Linked DNA regions of Mus musculus. The protein of the gene in region 2 purifies or fractionates together with the protein of the main gene of each other region. This does not show direct contact. Links are inferred from orthologs where the notes say so. Each region holds a gene or a part of one and is shown on either strand. Other genes may lie near its edges.

Region 1 (8,528 bases), on a different chromosome or scaffold from region 2:
TGTAAATGTAACTTTCATTTTCCTGTCACTGTCTGCTAACCTAGTCCTTGACGCTTCTAGCCTCTATACAATCTAATCTAAGCCTAGAATATTTTCATCCTCTGAGACTTACTGCTGAAAATGCTCACTCACCCTTTCTAGTTCTTTCTGAAATCTTTTGGCTGGCTTAACTCAGCTATTCTGGCTCAAACTCCTCTCCAGGGTGACTGACTCAATTTGGCTTCTCTCAGCTTCTGACTGAATTGCACTGCTTGGTCTCAGACTAACTTTGGAAATCTATTCTAATCTTCTGGCTGCTCCTCTTTCTCTGACTTGTCTGTCTTCCCCTGTGTCTAGCTTGTTCTCTCTTTGCAGCCTGTCTCTGTAAAACCAACCGTTCTGCTAAGTCTGCCTCTTTGCTCTCTTCTTCTGCGCCACTCCCTCTTATGTTGCCTGTTTTCTCTCTGTTCTCCTGAGAGTTGAGCACATCCTAGTCTGTCAAACTATCCTCAGATTTGTCAGTTTGTCTGCCCCTCAATTAGACATCACTTTCAAACATAAGGCTTCCTTCTCTATACTAACTTTACCTTCATTGTTTGGGATTAAAGACATGTACTAAGCTTGTATCTGAATTCCAGACAGATCACACAGGCCTAAAAGGCTTTTGGATAGGGTCAGAGTAGCCATGTTGCTGTATTAAAATACCTCTACGGTGGTATATGCTTTTAATCCAAACACTTGGGAGGCCAAGGCAAGTGGATCTCTGACTTCTAGTGTGCATTTCTAACCATGCTCCAGTTTCCAAATAACAACTCAGAAGCTTATTATTTATAAAAAATTCCAAGACCATAAACTAGGGTTGTTCCCAGTAGCTCATAACTTATTTTACCCATTTAAACTGTTCTGTGTCTGCCACATAGCTGGTTACCTCTCCTTAGTTTTATACATCCAACTTTCTCCAGATAGTGGAGCTTCCCCACTCTCACCATTTCTTGTTCCTATCTTCCTCTACTGGAACCTCCTGCCTTCTTCTTCCTGCCTTTTGCTAATAGGCCACCAGCTTTTTATTGACAGGTGATGCTTCCACACAGTACATAAAGGATTATTATTATATTCTAGGCCTGCCTGTTCTACAGTGAATTCCAATTTAGCCAGGGCTTCACAGAGAAAAAGAAAAGTGAAAGGTCAGGTTGAGAAGAATCTGCACTTCTTTTTAATTTCTTATAAGAATTGTTTCTGGATATAGAACAAATAATAGAATAGTTTGAAAGAGATAAAATAAGAAAGAATATGGAAGAATTAATGTTAAGCATAGGAAAATCCACATAAATGATGCGTTAAACTAGGCACCATTAAGTTATCCATGGGAAAGGCCCTGAAGCAATGTCAGATTGCTGACATTGAGAGACGGGACATCTCAATTCTGGGTTGCTTATTCTCGATATGCAGTTAGATAGACACAGGTAGGCACACAAACATTTTTTTAAAGGCAGTAGTAGTTTTTTAATTGCAAAAGTGTATGTTTTATTTTTAGTTCCTTACTTAGAATTCTTTGTTGGTAAATGATAAGTTCATTACAGCTCCTTTTCTTACAAATAAATACGGGTTGGGAAAAGCTGAGTGTTGGTGCACACCTTTGTTCCAGCACGGAGGGAGCAGAAGCAGGTGGCTCTCTGTGTGCCCAGTTCCAGGACAGGACAGCCAGGGCTACACAGAGAAATCTTTTTTTGAAAAAACAAAATAAAAAAGGGGTCAGGGTGTGACTATAGTAGGCTCAGTGGTTTAGTGCACTCTTTGCTCTTGAAGAGGATCTAAGCAGTTTCACAGCTGTCTCTAGCTATAGTTGCAGAGGATCCAGATTCATCTTCTGACTTTCTTTGGACATCAGGCATGCACAGACAAAACATACACATAAAATAAAGCTAACAAAACTCTTAAAATTATGGGTTGAGAACTCTGGTGATGGTTCACTGGTTAAGACCATATGTACAGGCCTGGGAACCTGAATTCAAAGCCCAAGCACCCACATAACAAGCCATTCAAAGCCACATACATGTCTATAGTATTGTAGTGGTAGAGACAGAAAGATTGCTGGCATTTTCTTGTCTGTTTGCTTACCTCCAAGACAAATGAAAGACCTTGTCTGAACAAAGTAAATTGGAAAATGATCCAGCAGGATACCTAAGGCCCACATCTTGCTTCTACATTTGCTGATGCACCAATATTCTCACATGTGCATACTTCGCGCACATATCCCTATAAGTAAATTGCTTTGTCACAAAAAATAGAAGTGTGATTTTATATTTTTATTGTGTAATTTGTTTTTAAGGAAGGATAATATGTATTCATTTGTATTTCATAGCATTTTTTCCAAGTAGTTAAACATACTTGATGCTGTTTTGCTTTCCATTTTGTTACTGTGGTAAAACACTTGATCGAAGGCAGCTTAGGAAGGAAAAGATTTATTTGTCTTATACTTCCTGCATATACTTCTGTCATTTCAGGAAGTCAGGGCAGAAATGCAAGGTAGGAACTTGAAGTAGAAATCATAGTGAAATACTGCTTCCTGGCTCACTCTCAGGCTTCTGTTTAGACAGGCTTTGAAGTGTGTGTGTGTGTGTGTGTGTGTGTGTGTGTTTAATATGTACTTGAGTGCGAATGGAGTCTAGAAGAGGGACCACCTATGAGTCCAGGTAATTATAGAGGGTTGTGAGCTACTTTTTGTGATGGGAGCTAGGAATCAAACTTAGGGAACTCTATAAGAACAATGTGTATTCTATGTGTGTTGAGGGAAGGGGTAAGTCGATAAGAGTCTCTCTATGGAGTCTTAGCTATCCTGGAAGTAGACCAAGCTTGCCTCTGCCTCTTTAGTGCTGAGATTGAAAGTATGCCCTACACCCAGTTTCAAGACTATTTTCCACTTTAATCTGCATCTTAACAGCTTTTTTCTTCAAAATAAGAGCAATATATTTGAGGCTGTGTGTTGTGATTACACCACTAAAAACTTTATAGATGTAGTTTTATTAGGTGAGTTTTGGATATATAAGACTGCTGGTTTGGGCTCCAGTTTTTAAATACATCTAATCTTTTTCTTTTGGTCTCTGTTTTTAGAAAGAGCATCAAGAAGTTGGTTTTGAAAAATCTCAACAATAGCAATCTCTTTTCTCCTGTTAATCATGATTCAGAAGATCTAGCTTCACCCTCTGAGTATCCAGAAAATGGAGAAAGGTGAGCTGGATTCATTTTAAAGATGTTGTTAATCGTTCTGTTTTGCTTTTAAAAGCTTCTAATTTTATAAAGGTTGAGTTTTATATAGACTTACTATAATTCAAGGGCCCCTGGGTGTTATGTTATTATTTCTAGAGTACTTTAAACCTCAAAAATTATTGGAGCAGATTAATTTCTATAGAACTACTTTGTAATTATTTTTTTAAGATTTATTTATTTTATGTATATGAGTACACTATAGCTGTACAGATGGTTGTGAGCCTTCATGTGGTTGTTGAGAGTTGAATTTTAGGACTGCTGCTCGCTCTGGTTGGCCCTGCTTGCTCAGTCCCTGTTCGCTCCAGCCCAAAGATTTATTATTATAAATAGGGACGCTGTAGCTGTCTTTAGACACATCAGAGGAGGGCGTCAGATATCACTACGGGTTGGTTGTGAGCCACAATGTGGTTGCTGGGACCCGAACTCAGAACCTTTGGAAGAGCAGTCAATGCTCTTACCTGCTGAGCCATCTTGCCAGCCCCTATTTTGTAATTCTTATATGTGGCTTTGGGCAGTTTTAGCAAGCACTTCTGTTAGTTAAGGTACAGTTAGTCTGATGATTATTAAAATAATGTTCATTCTATCAAGTAAAATCAATATAACAAACAAGAAGTAAACAGACATATATATGTATATATGTGTGTGTGTATGTATATGTATGTATAAATTGTGTGTGTGTATACACATATAAAATACCTGTCTTCAGTAGTCTAATTTAAGGGCTAAAGAGCTGGCTCTGCAGTTATCAGTACTTGTTCTTCCAGAGAATCGGAGTTTGGTTTCTGACATCCATGTTGGGCAGCTCACAACTGGGATCCAATACTGTCTTCTGACCTTTTTGCCAACACACATGACATACATTCAACAAACATATATGTAAATAAAAATAATTTATAACATTTTTACTAGTTTGACTATTAACTATTTAATAGTCAATTTAAATATTTAGTAGTTTTCCAGTTTAAAAATTTACTTGAGGGGCTGTTGGAAAAATAGCGTTAGTCTGTAAAGTACCTGTCTTTCTTGAAAGCAAAGGACTTAATTGGACCCAATGTCTCACAAAAAAAATAAAATAGGGCCTGATGAGATGGGTCTGCAATGAAGATCACTGGCTGCTCTTGCAAAGGACTGGTATACCATTCATAACATCTACATTGTGACTCACAACCATCTCTAATTCTAGTTCCAGGGGATATACAGCCCCCTCTTGTCCTCTGTAAGCACTATATATACATATGTACACATACATACCTGGAGGCAAAACACTCATGTACATAAAATATAAATAAAATTAGATTGAGTAAATGAGGGCCTAGAAAGATGGATTGGTTGTTAAGAACACTTGCTGCTCCTGCAGAGGACCTGAATTTAGCTTTCAGCATGGTTGCTCATATATGCCTGTAACTCTAGTTCCTGGGGATCTGATGCCTTTTCTGACCACTGTAGGCACTAGGTATGTATATGGTGCACATAAATTCATGCAGACAAAACATTCACACACATAAAATTAGTGAAACTTTAGAAAACAAAAAGGCATAGTGATTCATGCCTTTACTTCCAGCACTTGGAGGCAGAGAGGGACAGTCATCTCGTCTACATATGGAGGTCAGGACAGCTAGGGCTATGTAGAAAGACTATGTCTCAAACAAACAGAATGAATGAATGAATGAATGAATGAATGAAAAAGAAAAGGAGAGAAAGAAACAGCCAGTGGTGGTAGGTTTAGAGGTTGGTTCTCTCCTTCCAGGAAATGGGCCCCAGGAATTAGACTCAGTCATTTAGGCTTTGTTTCATCACTCAGCCCTCTTGCCAGCCCTGATTCCCCATCGTTAATGGTCTTTGTGGTCATTGTGATGAATATAAGATAGTTTAGTTAGCTCTCCATTAGTGAAATTTCAGAGATTATTTGGTATTCCTTTATTCAAAATAGTGGGCCATCTATTTTTTAATTTGTAATTTGATATTTCATTAAAGTATTTCCAAACCTCTTGTGTTTATAATATTAGTTTAAATTCAAATTTTGAGATTTTTAAAAATTTTATATATATATGAGTGTTTTGTCTACAAGTATGTATGTGCATTGTGTGCATACAATGCCTATAGAGTCCACTTATGTGAAATCCACTGGAACTGGAGTTAGAATTGTTGATAGCTTCCATGTCAGTGTTGGGAATCAAACCCTGGGTCTCTGAAAAAACAGCCAGTGTTCAGTGTTTATTTTGACATTAACCATTAATCATTTATTTTCACATAGCAGCAAGTATTTTGTGTTTAGTCTAAGATTTAATCAAAATCAAGGCTGGGGAGATGGCTAAGTAAAGGCCTTTGTCATCAAACCTGAAGATCTGAGTTTGATCTCCAACACACCCACAGAGTGAGAGGGGGTTGCTCAGATTTATTCCTTTGAAAATGAGCAGTCAAGGCTATGAAACCTAGAGCTAGATTTTCTGAGGTTTTTCGTTTGTTATTTTATGTACATGGGTGTTTTGGTTGCATGTATATTTGTATACACTTGTGTGCCTGGTGTCTTAGGGGACCGGGAGATGGTATCAGACCCTCTAGAACTAGGTTGCAAATTGTTGGGAGCCACCATGTCTGTGCTGGGAATTGATCCAGGATTCTCTATACAAAGCAGCACATCCTCTTAACCACTGAGCCATCTTTCTAGCCCTAGATTTTTCTATTTTAAAACTTCAATTCTAGATAGTACTCACAACTTTGTGATATTACACAAAATTTTTTTTTTTGATCTGGTTTTCCTGTTACAGGTTAAGAGGTAGTAATTACATCCTATCTCACACAGCTGCTATAAGGATTTATTAAATCATCTGGTGTAATGTCAGATCCTTAATAAAAATTAACTGCTGTCATCACCTTTTCTATTGCCAAAGACTAAGGTATTTTTTTCTCCGTTATCAGATTTAGCTTCCTGAGCAAACCTGTTGATGAGAACAATCAGCAGGATGGAGAAGATGACTCTCTTGTATCACGATTTTACACTAATCCTATTGCCAAACCCATTCCACAAACTCCAGAGAGTGTTGGAAACAAAAATAACAGTAGCAGCAATGTGGAAGATACCATTGTTGCCTTGAACATGCGTGCTGCTTTGCGCAATGGATTGGAAGGAAGCAGTGAAGAGACGTCATTCCATGATGAGTCATTGCAAGATGACCGAGAAGAGATAGAAAATAATGCTTACCACATACACCCAGCAGGTCAGATTCACATACTTTTTTATATCTTTGAAACAGTTTTTAATTACAGCAATGTGGTCAAAAGAGTCCACTTCTTATAGCCTAAGAGACTGTCCTATCTTCCTAACTTTGTAAATTCAAGTGGATTGTTTATTAGTAAGACCTTACCATAGTGTATTCTATGGAGACTTACCATGTTATGGGTATTCCTTTTAAGAAGAGGACTCTATGGTAAATAAAATCTACAAATCTTAGGTTAAGCAAAGTTTAGTAGACTATATTACATTTAAAATGTTTTTGTTTTTCTGTTTGTGGGAATAGAGTCTGGGTCTTGCTCATGCTTTCTTCAAACTTGCAGTGACCCTTCTGCCTCTGCACCCCAAGTTCTGCGTTGAGTATGTGGAGGCAAGTTGCTCAGAAGCTCAGGGTCTTGGCTTTGTTTTAACTACAACGCCATACTGACACATAAGACCCTGTCTCATATTGTTATATGAAAATAAAATTAATAGAACTGGTAACTGTTCTACTCAAGTATAATCACAATATTTTTTGACTTTTGGTCATAGGCATTGTTCTCACAAAAGTTGGTTATTACACTATCCCATCTATGGATGACCTTGCTAAAATTACCAACGAGAAGGGAGAATGCATTGTTTCTGACTTCACCATTGGTCGTAAAGGTAAGTGTGAGTTTAAAAGTCATATAACTTAGAGATTGGACCTTGCCTATGTTATTAAGGGCAACTCTAGGTTTTAGAGTCTGGTTTTTTGTTCTTGTTGGGTTTTTTTTTCCCCCCTGTATTTGGTTCTTTCCTGACTTAGACTAATAGAAACATTGACAAGTAATAAAGCAAGGAAGACTAAAACCATGTAGAATTTGGGGGCTTAGACATACCTGTTTGAGTCTGGTAATTATGTTTCCCATAATTCTCCATAATTAAACTTGAAGATATACTAAGTTTTTAATACAGTGATCAATTTTATATTAAATTGTTATGGGTAATTTTCTTTAAATAAACTTACTCTGTGAAGTAGTCTTTTGAATGGGCTCAAGTATTTTAGTTTATGTAGCAGACGAGGAACCAAGTTGTTCATACACTGGCACTGGAGATACTGGGGAAGATTTGAAGACACCAGAAATGTAAAGTGGAGATGTTATATCTGATAACTATATAATGCCATTCCTCGGTCCCCACTCTTGCCATCTTTAGGAGACAGAAAGCTACTCCAAGAATTTCTGGAAGGTTTAAAATACTGATATTAAAGGTTGCATGTTCTCCCTTCCTAATTACTACAGATTAAAGGAGATTTTTGCTCCTTTATGAAGGATCTTTTTTAACCATTTGCTCTGAATTTTAGGATATGGCTCAATCTATTTTGAAGGAGATGTGAATTTGACAAATCTAAATTTGGATGATATTGTGCATATCCGAAGGAAAGAAGTTATTGTCTATGTAGATGATAACCAAAAGCCACCTGTGGGTGAAGGGCTAAATAGGTATGAATTTATTTATATACAGAAATTGGAGTTTTTTCCTGAAAACACAGTCTTTCTATAAACTTTTATTGTTTGTCTACTCTTATTTGAAAGTATAAATGGTAATGATGCTCTGTGACTTTAGGACTCATACCTTTCCCTAATGGTAATGTGTTCACATGCTATTTTCAGGAACTTTCAACAATGGAAGTTTGCCTTTGCTTAATTTTGCTTTTCAGAGGTAGAGATTAAACTAGGGCCTCATACATGTTGAAAATCACTCTGCCAGTGAGCACCAACTCCAGAAAGTTTTCTTGTTTTGTTGTATTTCTTCTTGTTCTGCCACTGGTACACTCAACTATTTAAATGTGAGACTAACGTTTATTTTGTTTTGTAGGCATTCTGTTGCCATATATTGCTTGGATATGGTGGGAGGTTAGATAGCTCGCACTGTAACCGGTGTGGTGTTGAACCCTAACTTAGCTTTGATTCACGGCATTCCTGCTTCACCTCCCCTGTGCTGTAGTAACACTCCTGTACTGCTACATCCATCTTCCTCTGGATAAGATGTGTGATTGGTAAAAGTCACATTTGCAGAACTCCAGTAA
Region 2 (3,600 bases):
AAAATATTTTTATTAAATAACCTACTTGGAGGATAATTACAAAATCCTTAAGTATTAATTCCCAGTAGTGAAAGGCATTTTCCTTTAAAAAAAGAAAAAAAAGACAAAAATATCCTTATGATTTGCTGCTTTATACACAGGAATGATTTATTTTACAGTCATCTGTAACATCAGCGTATAAAATTCAAAACATTTCTTAATGTCTGAAGTCCAGAGTGAAGTTCACAATGATACGCTCTCCTATGAAGCTACCTATCAACAGACAAACCTGAACTCTATGGTAACAACTCCACACAGAATTTACAAGGCAGGCACTTTGAATCAGATACTGGGAATCTTTCACAGTTAATATTGCTTTTTCTGAAGCTCCTCTCATCAAAGGTAACCAACTAGTGAAGCCAAGGCTTCCTTGTGCAGAAGTACAAAAAAAGGTTTGGTTTCAAACACTTGAGTTGTGATACATGCAAGACATGCCCTAAATAAGAAGGATCTTCTAAAAGAAAATGAAGAAACCAAAAAGCAGCCCAGAATAAAAGCATTTACAAGCATCTGGATAAGGCCTTTACGTCAGTATTTTACACCCCTTCATTCTCAGGTAAGGGGTTAAGAGGCCGAGAGAGGTATCCTCTGCGAGGGTGAGGATACTGGAGGTTGGCATCGCAAGAGTGCTCTAGCAGAGGAGCAGGAGGAGGAAGGAGCTGGGCACAACTGGACCATCTTGATCCAGCCCGTGGGGAATCCAGAGGGGGAAAGAAATACCTGAAATAATGAAGACAGGAACAAAACACCAAAACAAAAACAACAGAGGGGAAAGGAGGGAGGGAAACAGAAGAAAAAGAGAAAAGCAGTAAATACAAAGAGAACCAAAGAAGAGAAAACATGCTGGAAGGAAGGAAAAAAAGCTTGTATATTCATGCCACAACCGATAGAACAACAGTACAAATCAAGACTTGCACTTGAATCAAGGTTGCTTAAGAAGTATAAAAGTTTGAAAAAAAATACAATATGTTAAAGTTAAAATGCCCCCCCAAATTACCAGTACCTATGTTACAGAGACATTCATTTTATAAATGTGAAGCCTTGTCTAATCCCATCTGATTCTTTCATTTACATTGCTTTCCACTGTCAGCAGTCCTGCATGTGCTGCAGCGGCAGGCACACCTCCTAGGTGCGTACATGATACTGAGAACCAACTCCAATAAACTACACGGGAAAGCTGGTCATGCCACAGGCTTTGAAAAATACAACCATTGGACAGCCTTAGTTTCCTGCAAAAAACTTAGAATAGCTACAGAATTTTGGTGCAAAAAAGGCTCATAGAATTATATCTACCATCTTATAACTTACCCGTAATATGTATGCAGTTTAGTCAATAAAAAGGTGTATAACTTTGTCATCAAAGTCAAAAGTGTCAAAAGACAGGAACTCATTGAAACAACACATTAAAAATCCTGAGACATGGAATTTCAATTGCATGCACATTTTCTGAAAAATGTCAACTTATGTTTCCAAATTGTCTTAAAAGAAACGAAGATGTGTAGGATCATACCATAAACATTCATGCATATATTAGAAACATCCATCTTTGTAATGGGTATGAGATGAAAACTTAGAAGTGTTTCCACTTCTAAACTAGCAAATGCTAATGTGCTGCTTGGCTACAAACCATTGTATAGACTGTGGTGCCAGGTTACTAGTATTTTTAATTACAAGAAAAAGTCGTTGTGTGGATAATATCACCTGTAAAGTGGTTGTGTGGATAATATCACCTGTAAAGTCATTGTGTGGATAATATCACCTGTAAAGTCGTTGTGTGGATAATATCACCTATAGAGCAATTCTACAAAAGGTAAACACATTACCACTCAAAACAATCTTTAAGAAAATATTTATTCGATTTTCAAATTAAAATTATAAAAACTCATCATTTTAGCTTATTGTTTTAGAAAATAAAAGACATATTCCTATATTCTCCAAACGGAATAAAATTATATTTTCCCTCCTCCCAAATGCTTATGAGGATAATAGCAATGCTTTCCCAAGTTAGTCTCCAGAACATCCCAAAAAATTGTTTTGGTGATGATGTGTCAACAAAAAGCCTTTCCATTTATAGTGTCAGGAGGCTGACTAGTACAAAAGTTATATACACTGTCACTTTAAAGGCCTTTTGGACTGTGTGTAGTAGTGAACGGGCTGCTGGTGCATCTTGGAAGAGATCAAACGGCGCTGGGGAAGGGGAAAAGGAGTTGATTTCCATTCCTGTGTGCATGCAACAAGCAGCAAAACAGCAAAGTTACTCCAGCTAGCTTGTACTCAGCTGTGCTTTCTGTTAAAGGACACAACACAAACGGAGAAGGAGAATGCATCACAGATCTAACATAGATGGTTATTGGCACAATAAGAAAACAGATCAAAGCTATTTATGGAAGAAAATAACACAGAACTAAAGCTGTAACCTAAAACCAGATTTTTAAAAATTAACTCTACTATGCTTTCCTTCATAAAATAATTTGTTCTTCTCCATAGTAACTGGAAACACTTTCTATAGTTGCAAATACTTAAAACCTCAAAATCAAACAGCAAAATTTCTTGATTAAGAAATAGGTTACAATAGGGTAACACAGAGCCATTTTAAAGTGGAATTTTGAAGTTTCCCAACCTCTATTCCAAATTATACTCAAAGGCATATTTTAAATTTTTTATATTGCAAATTTACATATTTGAAATATGAATGACAAAAACTGACTCTAGATTATGTCAAATTTTGTTTTAAATGTATGCAGAAGAGCCTAAACTTCAAAATCTTGTATTTTACCACTATTATACACACTATTATACACACAAAAGACCAATCATTTCACACACTGGTCTCACAAAGCTGTAGTTATGGACTTTATTTAAAATTTCAATGTGATTTGATACAAAGCCTACCCAAGAGGCACTAAAAACATCCGAATATTTATCTAAGAGTCAGCTCTATTAAACAACATCTCCTTTCACTGCTGCAGAAAAGAACACAGAATCATAAAACGACTAACATTTTTACTGACCACTGAATTCCAGAATATAATTCAATGGACTTAAAAAACTGTCCATACTATAACCAAGGAAGCCACTAAATACAGACAAGAGTGAAATTCCAAGAGTAAGTGTCACAATTATTGGTGAATTACTTTATTCCATCTTAAAATTCACCTTTTAGTATGACTACCAGGAGAGGTGGCTCAGCAATTAAGGGCCCTGGCTGCTCTTGCAAAGGACCCAGGTTTGATTCTGAGCACCCACATGGTGGCTCACATGAATCCGTAACTCCACTTCCAAAACACTTGACTCTTTGGCCTCCCCAAACATTGCACACATTATGGAGCAGAGATATACAAGCAGGTAAAACACCCTACACATAAAAAGTGTGCATGGGGGCAGGGAAGGAGGTTTCTAGTTTTTCCCACAGAAGAGCCTACCTGCTAGCAGAAGTTCCATTTAATGAATTTTGAAGATTTGGAATATTTGAGCTCAGTGAAGGATTTGAGTTTCCCAGCTGAGAACTCCCATTTACTGGGCTCCCGTTACCTTTCAAAATACCAGTACACTTCCAATTGT
Region 3 (8,528 bases), on a different chromosome or scaffold from region 2:
TTCCTCAGCTGTACAGCCACTGGGAAGTTGTCCATACTACGGAAAATACCCCCCTACCCACTCATGCAAGCAGCCCTAATGAAAATCAGTGAGGCAGACACACAGATAGGAAAGCAAGAGGGAGACATGTCAGGGAGAAGGGCTTCAATGGGAGAGAAAGAGGATGAGAGGGGACGGAGAAGGAAAATTACTAAAATTCTAGCCAGGTGACGACACTCACCTTTAATCCTGTGACTCAGGAGCCAGAGACAGGCAGATCTGACTGGGAGGCCAGCCTGGTCTACAGATAGTCTAGTTCTAGGATAGCCAGTGCTACACAGAAAAACCCTGTCTCAAACATACACACACCCCAAAATAAAAAGCAAATAAAAAATTACTAAAATTCACTATTTAAAAAAACATTTCTAACTGGGCATGATGGTGCCTGCCTTTAATCCCAGCACTCAGGAGGCAGATGCTGGTGGATCTCTATAAATTTGGGGCCAGCCTGGTCTACAGAGTGAGATCCAGAATAGCTGAGGCTACACAGAGAAATCCTGTCTCCAAAAAAAAAAAAGTTTTATGTATGTATATATGTATGTAGGTAGGTAGGTAACTGGGGAGGCACATGCATCTGAGGCCAGAGGAGCTGAACTTCCAACCACACCAACATAAGTGGTGACCAACTAAACTTGGTGCTTTGCAAGAGCAGCCAATATATGCTCTTGATCGCTGAGCAATACATCCAACCCCAAAATTCATTATAGACACGTATAAAACTGCCAAGTAACTTTTCAATGGAAAAGAAGAGCTCAGGGCTGGGAGATGACTCAGTCGGGAAAGCTCAGGTCTTGCAAACTCAAGGGCCTGAGCTCTAGCTGAAGACCAGCGTAAACATGTGAGTTGTGGAGTACACAGCTATAATCCCAGCAAGAGGCAAACAGGACTCAGAAGTTGGTACTGTCATGTAGCTCCATCCAGTAATGTGAAGAGTGAGAATACTTCTCACTCAGAGCAATCAGAATAAAATCCATAGAAACATTAAGGGTTAGATAAGTGTGTACAAAGCTCTGCTTTGAGCCCCACAGTGGGGGGACAATATGTTTGTCCATATATGTTTGGCCAGAAATATAGCTCAGTGTCAGAAAGTCCACCTTACACAGACAAAACCCAATTCATTCTCTCTCTCTGTCTGTCTGTCTGTCTTTCTCTCTCTCTCTCTCTCTCTCACACACACACACACACACACTTCTGAGAGTCAAACATGGTGGCTTACGTGTGTAATCCAAGTATTTGAGAGCTGAGGAAGAAAAGTTGCCATGAGTGGCCAGTACAATGTGAGACTTTCTCTCAAAACACCAGATACTAACACAAGCAAACCAACAAGTAGACACAGGCCCCACACAGGGGCCTGCTGCGAGCAGAAACACACCGAACCACGCTATGGCCTAGGTATGCCCATCAGCTGGTAGAAAGCCTCCACCAGGTCCTGGTCATCCCCAGCATGACAGAAAACTCAAAATGGTGGCAAATGCGTGTAAGGAGAAAGATCAGAAACTCCATCTCATGCTTGGCTCAATGGCAGTCAAGGCCATGCAAGTTCCTGTATCAAAAAAACCAAAAGCCAAACCAAAACAAACTTTTTTGGGGCTGGAGAAACAGCTCACTAGTTAAGTGTGCGCTCTGCCCTTGCAGAGGACCCAGATTCAGCACCCACGTGCCAGTTCACAATCATCTAAACCCCAACTTCACAGGCTCCGACACCCTCTTGGCCCGCACAGCTGCCTAGCACACATACAGTTCACATACATAACATACATACACTCGCCGGTCGTGGTGGCGCACACCTTTAATCCCAGCACTCGGGAGGCAGAGGCAGGCGGATTTCTGAGTTCGAGGCCAGCCTGGTCTACAGAGTGAGTTCCAGGACAGCCAGGGCTATACAGAGAAACCCTGTCTCGAAAAACCAAAAAAAAAAAAAAAAAAAAAAAAAAAAAATACATACACTCATATGTATACTCATATGACTAAAAACACATTTATCTTTGTTTGGTTGGTTGGTTGATTTGTTTAGACAGGGTTTCTCTGTGTAACTCTGGTGTCCTGGAATCTCTCTGTAGAACAAGCTGGTCTTGAACTCAGAGATCCACCTGCATCTGCCTCCTGAGTTCTGGGATTAAAGGTTGAGTGTCACCATTGCCTGAAACTGATTAATCTTTACAATACAAAAAATCCAAACAAAGGTTGGCTGAGACGGGATCTCACGATACTGCCCAGGCTGTCTCCGATCCCAAGGTCGAGTGGTATTCCCACCTCAACCACCCAGTAACTGTAACCAGAAGAATGCGCTACCATCTGCCCAGCTGGCAACACTGACCAGGGCCTGGGGATGACGGGATGATGCTCATTAGCAGAGGAAAGCTTTCCCACCATGTATAAGCACTTGCCTAGACTATCAAGGTCCTGGGTTCAATCCCAGCACATAAGGTGACCAGAGGCTCAGTGGAACTCAGCCATGTGCAATGGTTCAGTGTTTAGCAGTTTGGTTGAGGGCAGCTCTAATGCCCATAAACAATGACCTGACTGTACAAGTAAGCGTATATAAAACATACAAAGACTCCTAGTAACATACACACCTGAGCATATGTACTCAAGTCCCCAAATCGCCTTCTGACAGACAGACTCAAATCTCCAACGACCTATTCTGCATCTAAACTTAGGACTTGAATAAGTGTCTACGCACCATTCCTTCTCCTTCACCAGATGCACACACCCACCTTCCTTTTTCTCACATATTCCTTGCCAACTGTATTCTTTTTGTGGTGGTGGGAATCAAACATAAGGACTAGTGCATGCTAGGCAAGTACTCTACCACTAAACTACATCTCCAGTCCCCTGACCAATTTTATGTTTTGAAAGAGTTTCCCTATATTGCCTCAGAAAATACAAGTTAACAAAGATCTATATACCAAGACCGTCTAAAGAGAAATCAAGGCACAGCAGGCACATATATAGCGCACATATGTAATCCCAGCATTCAGGAGGTAGGATTATGAAGCCAGCCTGGTTTAGAAATGAGCTCCAGGCCGGTAGGGTTACACAGTGAGACCTTGTCTCAAAAAGCAAACCAAAGTAGTTCCAGGACAGCCAGGGCTACACAGAGATACCCTGTCTCATGGAGAAAAAAATAATGGGGCAATGGTGGCCACACCTTTAATCTCAGCAGTTAGGAGACAGAAGCAGGTGGATCTCTGTGGGTTCCAAGCCAGTCTGGTAGGACAGACAAGCCTACACAAAGAAACCCTGAATTAAAATACATAAATAAATTCAACAAAATAAGCCAACAAAGTAACCAAAAAGATCCTTTCTCGCCTTGTGGTGCTGGAGATCGGTCTCCCAGATGCTATGTAGGCACTCACTACAATGCCACCTCAAGGTCCTTCCTCAGTGCGCCTCAGCTTTCCTAGTGCCCAGACCCTTTAACAGAGCTCACATTGTGCTAACTTCCAGCCATGGAATTATTTCATTGCTACTGTCATGAATAGTAATGTAAGCATCTGATATGCAAATCCCCTGGGAGCATGAGCCACAGGTTGTGAACTGTTGCCCCAGAGTGTTCTACCTCAGACCACTTATGCTCATGTGCACCCCATCAACCGCTTGGTCCCCTTATAACCTCTCTTCCTCAGACCTACAAACAAAATCCTCCTGAAACGACGGCAAGTTTACCAAGCACCGCTCCCCGTGCTAAATTAGTTTTAAACTGCTCTGGAGCAGAGAAGGAAAGATGCAAAACCTACTCCACAATCATAAACTCAGAGAGCTGAGCCAAGGCTGGAGCAGGGGTCCTCCCAGTCAGCCGACTGCAGCGCGCAGAGTGCACAGGGCGGGCGGCTGCCGTCCGCGCACACTCACCAGGTCCCAGAAGTTTTCATGCTTGCTTGGGTTGTCACCGCCCAGGACATCTGCCGACAAACTGTCCACCTCGCACACGTGCAGTCGGACCCAGTCAAGAAGGTGAAGGAGGAGAGGGCCAGCTGAGGAGAGACTCATGTCACACAAAAGAGCTCAGCTTCATCTGCGGCATCTCCACTCCACCCAAGTACAGACACGGACGTGGATTTATAGCAGAGGACCTGACTGGACAGAGGGCTATTTATTCCCTGCAACTAGGAAGGACAGAGGACGACAGGAACCCTGTGATGCTAAGACAGAGTTAGCCTGGGCTAAGTGAGGCTACATGAAACAAACAAATTGGGGTTACCTGGTGCTACTTCAATAAAGAGAATCTCACACAGGTTCCAAATGAGCTCCATGGCTGACAAAATGGAGACCTAGGGAAGAAACGGAGACTAGTTTTAACTGAAACTATTACTGAAACTCGAATGCAAAGCAACAGACAGCAAGAGAGATGGCTTCACAGTCAATAGACTCTGCTGTGCACACATCAGGAGCAGAGTTTGGATCATAGCACACAGATAACAAGCTGGAGACCTGAGCACATCTGAGGCCTCAGCTACAAAGGGAACAGAAAGGAGGGTCACTGCAGCTTGCTGGTGTCCAGCATAGCCAAAATAACACAACTCCCAGGATCAAGAAGAAAGAGAATGAGCAGAGAGAGTGGACATTCAACATCTTCTTCTGTCCTCCACATGCATGCACAGGTACGCTTGTACATACATACACACAATAAAAACTGTTTTAAAAAGGTGACATGTCAGCCGAGGGCATAGCTCAGCAACAGTGTGCATACTTAGCACACCTACAACACTGGAACCAAGACCAGGCACTGCAACAACCGAAAAAGCAAAGCCCAACCTAAGATGCTTTAGGAAGATGAACGTCCCCCACCCCACCCCACCCCCCTCCATCACCCCTTGTTCCAGGGGGAGAGCATACTGTGCCCATCAGAGAAAGCCTATTTTCCCTGTTCATGAGTTAGAAAAGCTCTGGGGTCTCACTGAGGAAAGAGTCCTAGATGTCGCCTTCTAGTCCTGCTGAGTTATAACCACATGCTGCTTGACAACAATTCTGAGTTCATGAGACCAAGCAGTAGTCCTAGAAGCTCGGTTCTCCATCTCAAGTGACAACTCACAAACACCATGTGTTAGGACTCATCTTTTCCACAAGCAATGAAAACCCTGAGTTCCCATGGGCTAAAACCTTGACCAACACTTTCAAAGCCATACTTGCCATCCCAAAGAGCTGCTGATCTACCTGAAAAGGAGAGCCCTCCTGCAACAGGGACCACAAAGCCACCACCCTACGCACTAACACGATGTTGCCAATACAATGAAAGCAGCTACACCTTACCTGGCTGCTGAACTGCCGGCCACTGGCTGGATCTTTAGCAGCAACTAGCAGAATACAAAACACCTTAAGTCAATCAACCTGCACTGAATGTAGCTCATCTCCTAAGCCCTCAGAAGCCCCATACGGTTTTTGCCTTGGTTTCTTTTACCACCCACCCATTTTCATGTGAAACGCTTATGGATCACACATTAAAACAAGGACCTATTATGAACTGCACAGCAGCCTCCTTAAAGGCCTCTGGAGAAAACAGCACCAGATAACGTACTTCAAACACACACAGGGTCCTTACTTGCAACCTGATGCATTTCTTCCATACAGGCCCGTATGACTGAACGGTAATTTTTACTCACTCGAACCAATCTACAAAAAAAATGAAATGACATACAAGATGACATGGAACCGTATCTTGATGCTAGAAAGAGAGAAATCAAAAGACAGGAGACGGGCTGCAACATCAATTCCAGGAGCTCTGAGTGCTCTGGCCTCCAGTACATATAAACTCATGTGGTCACACCATACCACACAACAAACAAACAGCTTTGTCACAGTGGTTTTAAAGTGCGTACTACTGTTGGAAAGGACCAGAGTTCAGTACCCAGCACCCTTATCAGATGGCTCACAACTGGCTGCAATTCTGGTTCTAAGAAACCCAATGTCATCTTCTGATTCCCACAGGTACCTGCACCAATATGCACCTACACATACATGGTTAAAATAAGTCTGGACTGCAAAGACGGCTCAGGTTAAAAGCACTACTGTTGTAATCAAGCCTGTGGCGTATTTTCTCAGTTGATAACTGATATGGGAGGTGCCATCCGAAGCTGGCGGTCCTGGCTGCTGTAAGAAAGCAGACCGAGGGGCTGCAGAGATGGCTCAGTGGTTAAGAGCTCTGACTGTTTTTCCAGAGGTCCTGAGTTCAATTCCCAGCATCCACGTGGTGGCTCAAAACCATCTGTAATGGGATCTGATGCACTCTTCTGGTGTGTCTGAAGAAATAAATCTTTTTAAAAAAAAAACAAGAAAGAAAGAAAGCAGACTGAGCAAGCCACGACAGTATGGCAGTGTGCAGGGCTCCTCCACGGCTTCTGCATCAATTTCTGCTAAAATTCAGTGCTCGATGCTCCAAGCACTGAATTACCACAAGCCTGGTAATCGTGTCTGTAACCCTGAGCTTGAGAAGTAGAGGCAAGAGGACCAGAAACTCAAGGATACACACGTATTTGAGCACATACATAGCCTGGGCTACACAAGTCAGCAGAGTGCATGCCAGGTGTATGAAACCCAGTTTCACCCTCATCTACTTACTGAGCTCAAGGAACGAGCACAACAACAACAACAAAAAAGAGTGAATAATAGGAAAGAAAAAAAACAAACCGTAGCCTGGAGGGCTGGCCCAGTATCACGGCTCAGCAGCTGGGCACTCAAAGGCAGCTCGAGCTCCGCCACCCCAAAAGGAAGCAAAAAAACCAAATCCTGATTCCTTGTCAAAAACACAAGCTTGAGAAGCAAGTCTTTCTTTTCCATTTGCCTTGTCTGCTGACGCCTGTATTTCTTTCATATTAAGACAGGGTCTCGCTTCTGCAGCTCTGGGCGGCCTGGAACTCACTCTGCTGACTACCAGCTCTTAAAGATCTGTCAGCCTCGTTTTTAACTCTTTCAAGAGTGAGATCTAATTCAAGGGCTTCTCTGTCTGAGTCTTCCTTTCACCATATTTATATTATTTTTATTTTGGTCGGTGGTGGTGTTCAAGGGACACATACAAATGAAGTAGGAATCCAAAAGGAAGAGTTGATACATATATATCAAGCCAGTAAGTCTTCCAACAGCATTTACACAATGCACAACTACACCCTAAGAAGATACACAGGAGAACAGGAACCCCGAGGTGCCCCGGCACTCACAAGGATAAGGACGCCTCCCTCTCACGACTTCACTGCAGCCTCAGCACCCACCACTTACTGAGCTTTCCTGGACTTCCCCGACAGTTCTTCCTCAATTTTTTGCAGGCCAACAAAGATTCCATGGGATTCATTGAAGAGTTTTCTCAAAATTTGAGAGTAAACATCCACATCTTTCCGTATGATGTAGATAAAAGGGCAGCTCGGCACCTTCTCTGATTTGCCTGTAACAAAACAGGAAAAAAAGTAACTCAACATCTACCATTTTCCCCAAAAGAGAAAAACATCCCAGTACTTCTAATTCTCTAATTACAAAGCCCGGCTGAGCCTGGGGCACATGTCCACTTTCTCCACCGGTGGGAATGAGACGGGAGGATTAAAACTCAAGGGAAGACTAGTGCACACAGTCGGCCAAGCAAACCAGGTTTACGCCAAAAGAAAAAAAGATTTGTCTTCATCTGGTCTGTGTAGGCTGAGATTACAATACAAGCAGGCAGCACAACACAGACTTCTTTTTTGGTGATATTGATGATCTAATTAAGGACACTGCCCATGCTAAAGAAGTTATCACTGAGCCACTGAGTGATAGCCTACATCCTTGGTTTTTGAGAATGGGTCTGGCAACATATCCCAGGCAGCTGGGGACTCTCTATTCCCCCCGCCAACTCTTCTGCACAGTAGAAAATCTAAGGTTGCAAGCGAGCGTTGCCTGAACCCAGGACTTTGCCTTCAGCTGAGGCAGTCTAACTCACTTCTTTGGGCTTGTTTTTGTTGGGTTTCTCAAGACAAGATTTCTCTGTGTAGCCCTGGTTGACCTAAAACTCATTCTGTAGATCAGGCAGGCTGTGAACTCACAGAACCACCTGCCTCTCTGTCTCCTGAGTGCTGGGATTAAAAGGTGCGTATCTCCACACCTGGGCTATATGGGTCGTTTCTAAAGGTTAATTATAGGAAGGGGGCTGAAGAGATGGTTTGGCGTCTAAGACAACTGGCTGAAATTTCCTGCCTTTAATCCTAACACTCAGGAAAAAAGAGCAAGTAATTTCTGAGTTCAAAGCCAGCTTGGTCTAAACCAAGTACCAGGACAGCCAGGCTACACGGAGAAACCATCTCAAAAAACCAAAACCAAACAAGAAGTACACAGGCAGCTCTTCCAGAAGACCTAAGTTCAACTCCCAACACCCCATATGGCAACTCACATAAATATAGAGTTCTAGTTCCTAGAATCCAATGATCTCATTTGGCCTCTGCGGCACCAAGCACGGAGTGGTGCACAGTTATGCACGTAGACAAAATGCCCATACACAGACTATAAAATTTAAAAATTACTTAATGTCA

Evidence for each region.
Region 1: the proteins of Seh1l (region 2) and Nup98 fractionate together in Homo sapiens (co-fractionation; 3 studies listed by BioGRID and IntAct, with this or other methods). This does not show direct contact. The link is inferred for Mus musculus from reciprocal best matches to the Homo sapiens genes SEH1L and NUP98.
Region 3: the proteins of Seh1l (region 2) and Nup85 purify together in Homo sapiens (affinity purification with western blotting; 4 studies listed by BioGRID and IntAct, with this or other methods). This does not show direct contact. The link is inferred for Mus musculus from reciprocal best matches to the Homo sapiens genes SEH1L and NUP85.

Annotation. Positions count from the first base shown.
Region 1 is NC_000073.6:102,151,731-102,160,258, reverse strand, and holds part of Nup98 (nuclear pore complex protein Nup98-Nup96 isoform 1 precursor), read left to right. Parts: intron 1-3,090; coding exon 3,091-3,207; intron 3,208-6,165; coding exon 6,166-6,464; intron 6,465-7,009; coding exon 7,010-7,123; intron 7,124-7,802; coding exon 7,803-7,941; intron 7,942-8,528. UniProt on the Homo sapiens protein: Plays a role in the nuclear pore complex (NPC) assembly and/or maintenance. NUP98 and NUP96 are involved in the bidirectional transport across the NPC. May anchor NUP153 and TPR to the NPC.
Region 2 is NC_000084.6:67,791,876-67,795,475, reverse strand, and holds part of Seh1l (nucleoporin SEH1), read right to left. Parts: coding exon 3,462-3,600; coding exon of another isoform or gene 3,458-3,461; exon of another isoform or gene 2,883-3,457; intron 2,327-2,882; coding exon 2,314-2,326; 3' UTR 760-2,313; coding exon of another isoform or gene 576-759; 3' UTR 1-575. UniProt on the Homo sapiens protein: Component of the Nup107-160 subcomplex of the nuclear pore complex (NPC). The Nup107-160 subcomplex is required for the assembly of a functional NPC.
Region 3 is NC_000077.6:115,565,487-115,574,014, reverse strand, and holds part of Nup85 (nuclear pore complex protein Nup85), read right to left. Parts: intron 7,415-8,528; coding exon 7,252-7,414; intron 5,653-7,251; coding exon 5,582-5,652; intron 5,337-5,581; coding exon 5,293-5,336; intron 4,314-5,292; coding exon 4,244-4,313; intron 4,017-4,243; coding exon 3,895-4,016; intron 1-3,894. UniProt on the Homo sapiens protein: Essential component of the nuclear pore complex (NPC) that seems to be required for NPC assembly and maintenance. As part of the NPC Nup107-160 subcomplex plays a role in RNA export and in tethering NUP96/Nup98 and NUP153 to the nucleus.